Linked DNA regions of Coturnix japonica. The protein of the gene in region 2 purifies or fractionates together with the protein of the main gene of each other region. This does not show direct contact. Links are inferred from orthologs where the notes say so. Each region holds a gene or a part of one and is shown on either strand. Other genes may lie near its edges. The genes, in order: TNFRSF13B and CAMLG.

What was found.
Region 1: the proteins of CAMLG (region 2) and TNFRSF13B purify together in Homo sapiens (affinity purification with western blotting; 3 studies listed by BioGRID and IntAct, with this or other methods). This does not show direct contact. The link is inferred for Coturnix japonica from reciprocal best matches to the Homo sapiens genes CAMLG and TNFRSF13B.

The regions. Positions count from the first base shown.
Region 1 is NC_029529.1:4,684,186-4,687,466, forward strand, and holds the end of TNFRSF13B (tumor necrosis factor receptor superfamily member 13B), read right to left. Parts: intron 3,141-3,281; 5' UTR 3,087-3,140; coding exon 2,948-3,086; intron 2,543-2,947; coding exon 2,426-2,542; intron 2,331-2,425; coding exon 2,082-2,330; intron 1,497-2,081; coding exon 1,222-1,496; 3' UTR 553-1,221; downstream 1-552. UniProt on the Homo sapiens protein: Receptor for TNFSF13/APRIL and TNFSF13B/TALL1/BAFF/BLYS that binds both ligands with similar high affinity. Mediates calcineurin-dependent activation of NF-AT, as well as activation of NF-kappa-B and AP-1.
Region 2 is NC_029528.1:2,444,854-2,448,767, reverse strand, and holds the start of CAMLG (calcium signal-modulating cyclophilin ligand), read right to left. Parts: upstream 2,590-3,914; 5' UTR 2,515-2,589; coding exon 2,316-2,514; intron 2,119-2,315; coding exon 1,670-2,118; intron 959-1,669; coding exon 893-958; intron 130-892; coding exon 1-129. UniProt on the Homo sapiens protein: Required for the post-translational delivery of tail-anchored (TA) proteins to the endoplasmic reticulum.

The DNA.
Region 1 (3,281 bases), on a different chromosome or scaffold from region 2:
GAGGCCACGTCTGATGGTGAGGAATGTTCCCCTCCAGCTTATCAGGGCTGGAAGGAAGGACCTGGCTGTGGGTGTGTGCGTTGCCTGTTTTCTGGGGCACAGATGGCTCAGTTTGAGCAGAAAAGGCTGAAGGACTGGGAGGGGGAGGTGGTAACCAGGGAAGAATTGAGGATGGTTAAGAGTAGAGGCAGAGCTGAGGCTGAGCGAGAGCAGAGGCTGCAGGGCTTGCTGGGAGGCTGAGGTGGGTTTGGGGCTGTAAATGCAGCACCACACAGAGCTCATCCCACCCTCAAAGAGGAGACTGAGAAGCACCGTGTTGGTTCCCAGAGATGGCCTCAAAGCTTTGCCCTGCTCACCAGCCATGAGATAAAGCACGGGATGTCACTGCACCTCCAGCCTCCTGCTGCTCCTTACAGCTCTGAGGGGCTCCCCATGGCCCTGGTGCTGTGTGTGTGCAGTGCTCAGCCCGGTGCTGCCTGCCTTGGTGGTGGGACAGCAGGAAAGCAATGCATGGCAGGGTGGGGAAGGACTGCATCTGAAGGACTGCATCTGCTCGTGGTTCCTCCAGCAGTTTATTTTCCTATCCCCAATTCACACATCTGATGACACTCCCATGTATTATTTCAAGTCTTGAGCTCTGGTCTGAGAAACAAACTCAAGGCCTTGAATCTCCTCTTGGGAGTGATTCCACGCCAAGCAGAAGCCCTGCACTCTCCATTAGTGAGAACTTAAAGTTCCACGCACTGAACCCCCAGTTTTTCCATAGCAGCTTTCAAGCATCATCATTCCCGGCTCTGTCAGCAGCACAGCAGAACTCAAAGTGTTTCAGAGGCTTCTCAGCCCGGGATGGTTTTGCACAGCAGAGCCCCATTGCAGCAGTGATGCCGGTGCCCAGCACAGTTCCCCTGCTCCTGTGTGTGAAGCTGCATCAGTTCCCTCTGCAGAGGCCAAGCGATGCTGATGGAGGAGCTGTGATGAGGAGCCCCTGTGGGATGTCAGCCCCAACCAGCAGCGCACACGGAGGTGCCTGCAGAGGTTGAGCAGGAGGATGGAGCCGCTGCTAACGGAGAGTTTGGGTGAGTGGAAAAGAACAGTCTGTGCCTGCAGCCCTCGAGCAGAGGCTGTGCTCAGCCCATCCATCCTGGGTGCTGGAGGCAGAGGGTGATCAGCTGTGCTTGGGGAGCAGCCCTCCTTTGCAGCCCGGTGCAGGAGCTCCCGCAGTCACACCGTGGGCGTCTTCTCTTGTGAAGGGGAGCAGATGATTTTGAAGTGGCCATCGTTGTTACTGGGGATCGCCCCCGCGCTGCCCATGCTGCATATCCCAGCGTGAGGGGCAGCAGCTCGTTCCCCTGCGTGGCAGGATGGGCTGTGGCACGGTTTGCTCTCCTGCACAGCGGAGCCGTGGCCGGGGAAGCAGAAGCCGCAGGTTTCCACCGGCTCTGGGGCTTTGCTGCCCGTGGATCCTTCACCGACACTGCCAGCTTCCACCAGGTGATCTGCAGAGACGAGAAACACAGCGCAGGGCTGCACCACAGCCTGCAAGGAGGCAGTGCTGGAATGCACTGTGTAATTACATGCGCTGCTGCTGTGCTTGAAACGCATCACCCACATGTGTCCTGCTGCCCCAAGGGCAGAGGGGTAAATGGGAAGGAGCCTCGAGCAGGGGAGCTGCAGGTGTAGGACTAAAGCAGCTGTAACACTGATAACGTTACACGTGGGTTGTTTTTGCCCTAAGTGCTCCTGTTGCGCCATGTGCTGATGCAGCAGTGCTGTACAACACACAGGGGCTGCTGGCTCGGGGGCCACACAGCGCTGCATGGACTGGCAAAGGGCTCTGCTCTGTTCATCTGAGCTCTGACAATCAAGGTTGAGCGCAGGGTATTGAAAAGCAGGCGGTAAATCCCTTTTCACCTCTCGGCTGCCCTTAAAAGCAAAGGCTGAATGCCACAACATCCTCGAGGTCCTGCTCCTTCCCAGGCCGTGTGACCCATTGCTGGGTCTGTTCCCTCCCTAGGAAGGCTCTGCTTTCAGGTGACAGCCACCCCCCGCTGCCCATCCCTCCCATTGCCCCCTTCACTCACCCTTGGCAGGGTCCTCCCGGCAGTGGCAGGTCCCGGTGCTGGCCTGGCAGGAGCCCACCTCCCCCTTCCTCCGCAAGTGTGTCCAGCCCAGCACCAGGGAGCAGACGAGGGCGCAGAGGCAGAGCCCCAGCAGCAGGTACACCACCAGCCACGGCTCCTGCTCCACACAAACCTTCTGCTCCAGTGCAGCCGCGGGAGGTGATGCTGAAACCAGGGCGGCTGGTGGGGAGTGACTGGAGAGCAGAGATCCTGCAGGGCAGGCAGAGAGCAGAGGGCAGACGGGCACAGAGCGGAGGGCATCAACATAAACTCACACCTCTCCCACCCCTCATCCCCCATCTTACCTCCACACGCGGCATCGCATTGCTTGGGGTGCTGCCCACACACTGTGCTGCAGTTGATGCACTTCTTCACCAGCTCGTCATAGTAGAAGCCAGCTCTCCTGTTACAGACCGCAGACTCTGCAGGAAGGGAAGGAGAGGAGCAGAGCTCGCTCTGAGCACATCCATGGCCCACTGGGGAGGGATGGGGTCACACATGTGGGTCTGTAGGCAGAGTTTGGGGGCGTTGTGCCTCCAGCTCTGGAGTTGGCTGTTGGTCACCCTGCTGGCCACGAAGACACTCAGCTCTTTGCAGGGCCCTTCCCAGCAGCTCAGCCCCAACCTGTACCAATGTGTGCAGTTATCCCTCCCCAGCTTACAGGGCTCCACACTCGCCCTTGTTGAACCTCATGGGGTTCCACTCTTCCCAGCTCTCCAACACATGATGACACGAACAACTCCGTGCTGCACTGCACCCAGCTGCTGCCACAGCCCCACTGCTGTGTTTCCCTGCGCTTTGGGGTTGCATTTTGGTGCCCCACTCACCGCACAGCGCCTTGCACCTCCGCTCGGCCGAGCTCCTGCACATGAGGGTGCAGGGGATGCAGAGGCAGAGGAGGCTGTCCCAGTACTGCTGGTTGGTGCAGTTGTTCATGGCGGCTCTTCCCAGGCACGTCCCATCCATGGCTTTGGGAGGGGAGGGAACCGTGTGTGGGGTTGGTGCGCCCAACGCTGGGACCTGTGCAGGGGGACACGCGCAGCGCCATCAGTACCAGCAGCTGGATCTGTTTGTAAGTCTAGAACCTTCTGAATTCCTCTGCGGCCCCCGGGGCTGCTCCTACCGCCCTGTGTCATTTCTGACATCTCACTTTGGTGTGTC
Region 2 (3,914 bases):
GACACAGAGGTCTGTGAAAACATCTCCCATTTTGCTGTAGGTGTCCATAGAGCGACTGATCACTTCTGCAGGGATTCCAGACAGTAACAGAGCAGCAGTTAGTACTGTAGTTTTCACCTTCTTCTCACTCTAGAAGGAAAAACAACAGTATGTTAGTTCTTCTGCTACAGTCCAGTTCTGCTTAACATCACAGTTTCACATACCCAGACACCTCCAGATTCACTGGCAAGAACAGCGTGTTTGCACTGGTTCTCTCCAGGACTCACAATACCTTACTTAACCCAGCTACAAATTCAAGCTGTGGAGGATCTGAGGAGCTGAATGAGAAGCTCATTAACAGCAAAAAAACTGCATCATGGGTGTTATGGCAATCCAATCACATGGCAATCCAATCAAGCTGTAAAGCAGAGTTATGGATTGAGGATAAATACAAAGCCTCACGCACTAATATCTCATTTCTAGCTGTCATTCAAACTGGAACACAGAGCCCTTAAAGCCCAAACAACCACCTTATGACCACATCCACAGATTTTGCCCAGGAATCACATATACCCAATGGCTGCTGATAGAGACAACAGTAACCACAGAAGAGTGCTACCCTAGGAGAAAAGCAGAACCATCCTAAAGACATGAAAGATAAACTGGAATTTCACAGTCAGATGCTTTTAGTTATCTTACAGCCAGGTAAGCTGCTAGCCCATGTTTCCACAACAACTCTTAAAACCATTTGGACTAAATGTGGGCATACTGACAGCTGGCATTAGCTATGAGCATTTGATAATTCTCATTTCTAGAGCTCAAAACAGAATAAGAACACTCCCCATGCAACAATACAACCTAAGCAGGGGTTTAAAACATTTGAAGTTAATCTAATTGAGAAAAATTGCTTTACCTTTGGAAAGTACTTGGATAGTCCCATGTAAGCAAGTTGTAGAGTAAGAAATGGTGCAAATATTGACTGACGGAGGAAAAAAGAATATATTAAAGTTCAGAAATAATACATAAGAACACAGAAATTTAATTAACAGCACTACCATTGAATACAGACAAGTGATGTATCACAGGAGCATTGTTCCACCTTGCTTGCTTTCAGTCTTGAAACCTGAAATTGCACGACAGAGCAGTGTGTACTAACAGGCTGAGTGCTCCAGAAGGTGGCAGGCTGCACCAGTCATGCACTTCTGCAAGACGTGCCCGCAGACACCTGCACTACTGAGGGACTATTTTTCCTCAACAGGTTGATAAATGAGCAGGATCTGCACCTCACAGTGCAAGTGTTGTAGCTTTTACTCTGTTATTCTTTCCTAAAGAACAACAGTTGACTCAAACTTGCATAAGACTTAAGCAGTAATAATTATTCTAATGTTGCTTCTCCTCAAAACATTAAGCACCAAAAGCATGCAACTCCCAGCTGTAACTCAGCAGCTGTGCTAGATAATGCAGATTCTGACAGTTATCATCTCAAGGATTGCCAGAGTTGTTTGGTTTGCTTTTTTTCTTATCTTTTACACAGTTGACAGCATTGTAAAGAATGCCTTTAGTTCCCAACCCACTTAGCCCTACATAAACAGCTTTCAAGCCCAGATAAGTAGCGTTTTATATGAGCTGAGTCCTAAGCCTGTCATTAATAAGTCAAACAGAATGGGACTGGTTGCTCCGCTGAACTCACCAAGTACTTGCACACAAAGGCCCTCACTGCAATGGCAAGCAGAGCACATCCCACTAATCGAAATATGCGGAAAGAATCAAACTCCTCCACCGCATTCCCGTTCTCTTGGCTCGGCTTCTCATTCATTAGCTGGTTCCTCAGCTTCAGAGCTTCATCAAACCTGGATAAGTATTGTTCTAATCCATGCCTGGGTGGCCGTGCTGTGGCTTCAGATGGCAGCTCCCCTCTGTTACGGTGCCGGAGCTCACTTGTACCCTCACTGACAAGCTGCGGGGTCTTACTGAACAAGTCCTTCTCCCCTTTGAGGTCTCCCATACTGACTGCATGGTCAGTTGTTCCGGACACACTGGAGACCGAATCACCGAGCACGATTCGTTTTGAAACAGAAGGAAGAGGATGGGAATTCGATTTATCTTGTTCGAGTTTTGATTCTACGTGACTTTCATCATCTAAAGAAGAGAAACAAAAACACCGAGTTACACGCACAGCACTGCATTGCAGAGGTTAATGGCTGGGTACCCAAAGGCCCCGATGGACGGAGGCTCCTCGCTCACTGTGTCAGACACTGAGGGACCGCGCTCAGCGACTTTCTGTCACTGAGGTGAACGGGGCCGGGCCGCGGCCCCACACCTGGCTCAGGGCTCACCCTTGGCTGCCGCGGGCCGGTGGAAGCCCATGATGCGGTTGATCCGCTCCTCAGAGTTCATCAGCAGTTTCCTCCGCCGCAGCTCCGCCCGCCGCTGTGATGCCGACAGCCCCGCGGCAGCGGCGCCCGGCCCGCCGCCCTCCTCCATCCCCGGCACCACAGGCCGCAGCGCCGCACAAAAAGGGGCTGCGCCGCGCATCAACGCGCATGCGCCATCACCGCCCGCTTCCGGGAGCCGAAGCCGGCGGCACCATTTTAAATAATGGCAAAGAGAAGGCAGACAGCCCGCCGCTCTCCCAGCTGTGACGGGGCAGCGCAGTGGAGGACACAGAGCTGTGCCCTCAACAAAGATGGCCGCCGCAGAATCGGAAGTGACGTCAAAAGGCGAGAGGCCCAATCCCCATCAGTCTGACTTGCCACTATCCCATTCTATTCACGCAGTGTGACCCAGCACAGCCCCGCACTCACACCGCTGACAAAGCACTGAGGGACCTGCGTGAGTTCAATTGATTTTATTGAGTAGCCAAATCTGATAAATTAGCACAGATAAAATAAGCATTTGCATGTGTTACAAATGGCTTTTTGTTTTTTACAGGAATAAAAGAGTGAAAATTACAAACTGTAAAAAGGAGGACAAGGAAACCCTGCCTCGAGTCCAGAACAGGGGAAGATCGATCGTCTCAGAGTGAAAGATTTAATAATACAATATTATACACTACTGTACAACGGCACATTGACTAGTGGATGACATCTGTAGGAAACAGAAGCTTAAAATCACATTGAATGGTCCCTTATTTAACAGCCATTTTGCATCTGTTTATTAAATACTGTTAAGAAATTAAACCTAAATAAAAGAATCGTTCTAGTTATTGCAAAAACAACCTACGTGGACTTAAGACTCAAATATATTAAATTAAGAATGAAAGCAAAGTAAAATGGATGGTAACGACGTCGGCTGAACACTAATGGGTCAAATACAGGAATGAGTTTAAAAGAAATTCCTCAACTAGAAAAATAGAATATATTTGCAGTGGGAGTTGTGATGAGATCTAAGAACCAGAGCCACTCCTGCCTGTTTTTATAGTTCATCATCAGCATCATTTTTCCAGTGGTAGGTAAAAGCGAGGCATTGTGGATAGCTGCGTCCATCTGTCCTTATTGACCTTACAGCACAGCAGGCTTTTCCCATTGCCAGGGAATAAACTTCAAGTTCAATACAGAATTAATCTGAAGGTGAAAATCCAAAGTGAAAAAGGCATGTTCTGCTCCAAGAGGGTTCAGCTGAGCCTTGATTATGTTTTGTCTTATAAAACTTAGGGAATCCTACAAGTTAATTGCCACACAGACTGACATCTGTAACTGCTAGTCTGGTGTACATGGAACAGTCCAACATTTATTAGAAAAAAGGAGGGGCTACAATACAGTCATCATAAGCAGATTTGGATGGGCTGTTAAATGCAACGACAGCTCCCAGCATCTGAGTGATAATATACCCCAAATACAAGTTTTAAGTGATAACCTATGCAAGTGCATAGCTTCCATTTAAATTGAGAGACTTCTTTCTCTGGAAAAATAATTATCCGACTGTCTGAACTTAAA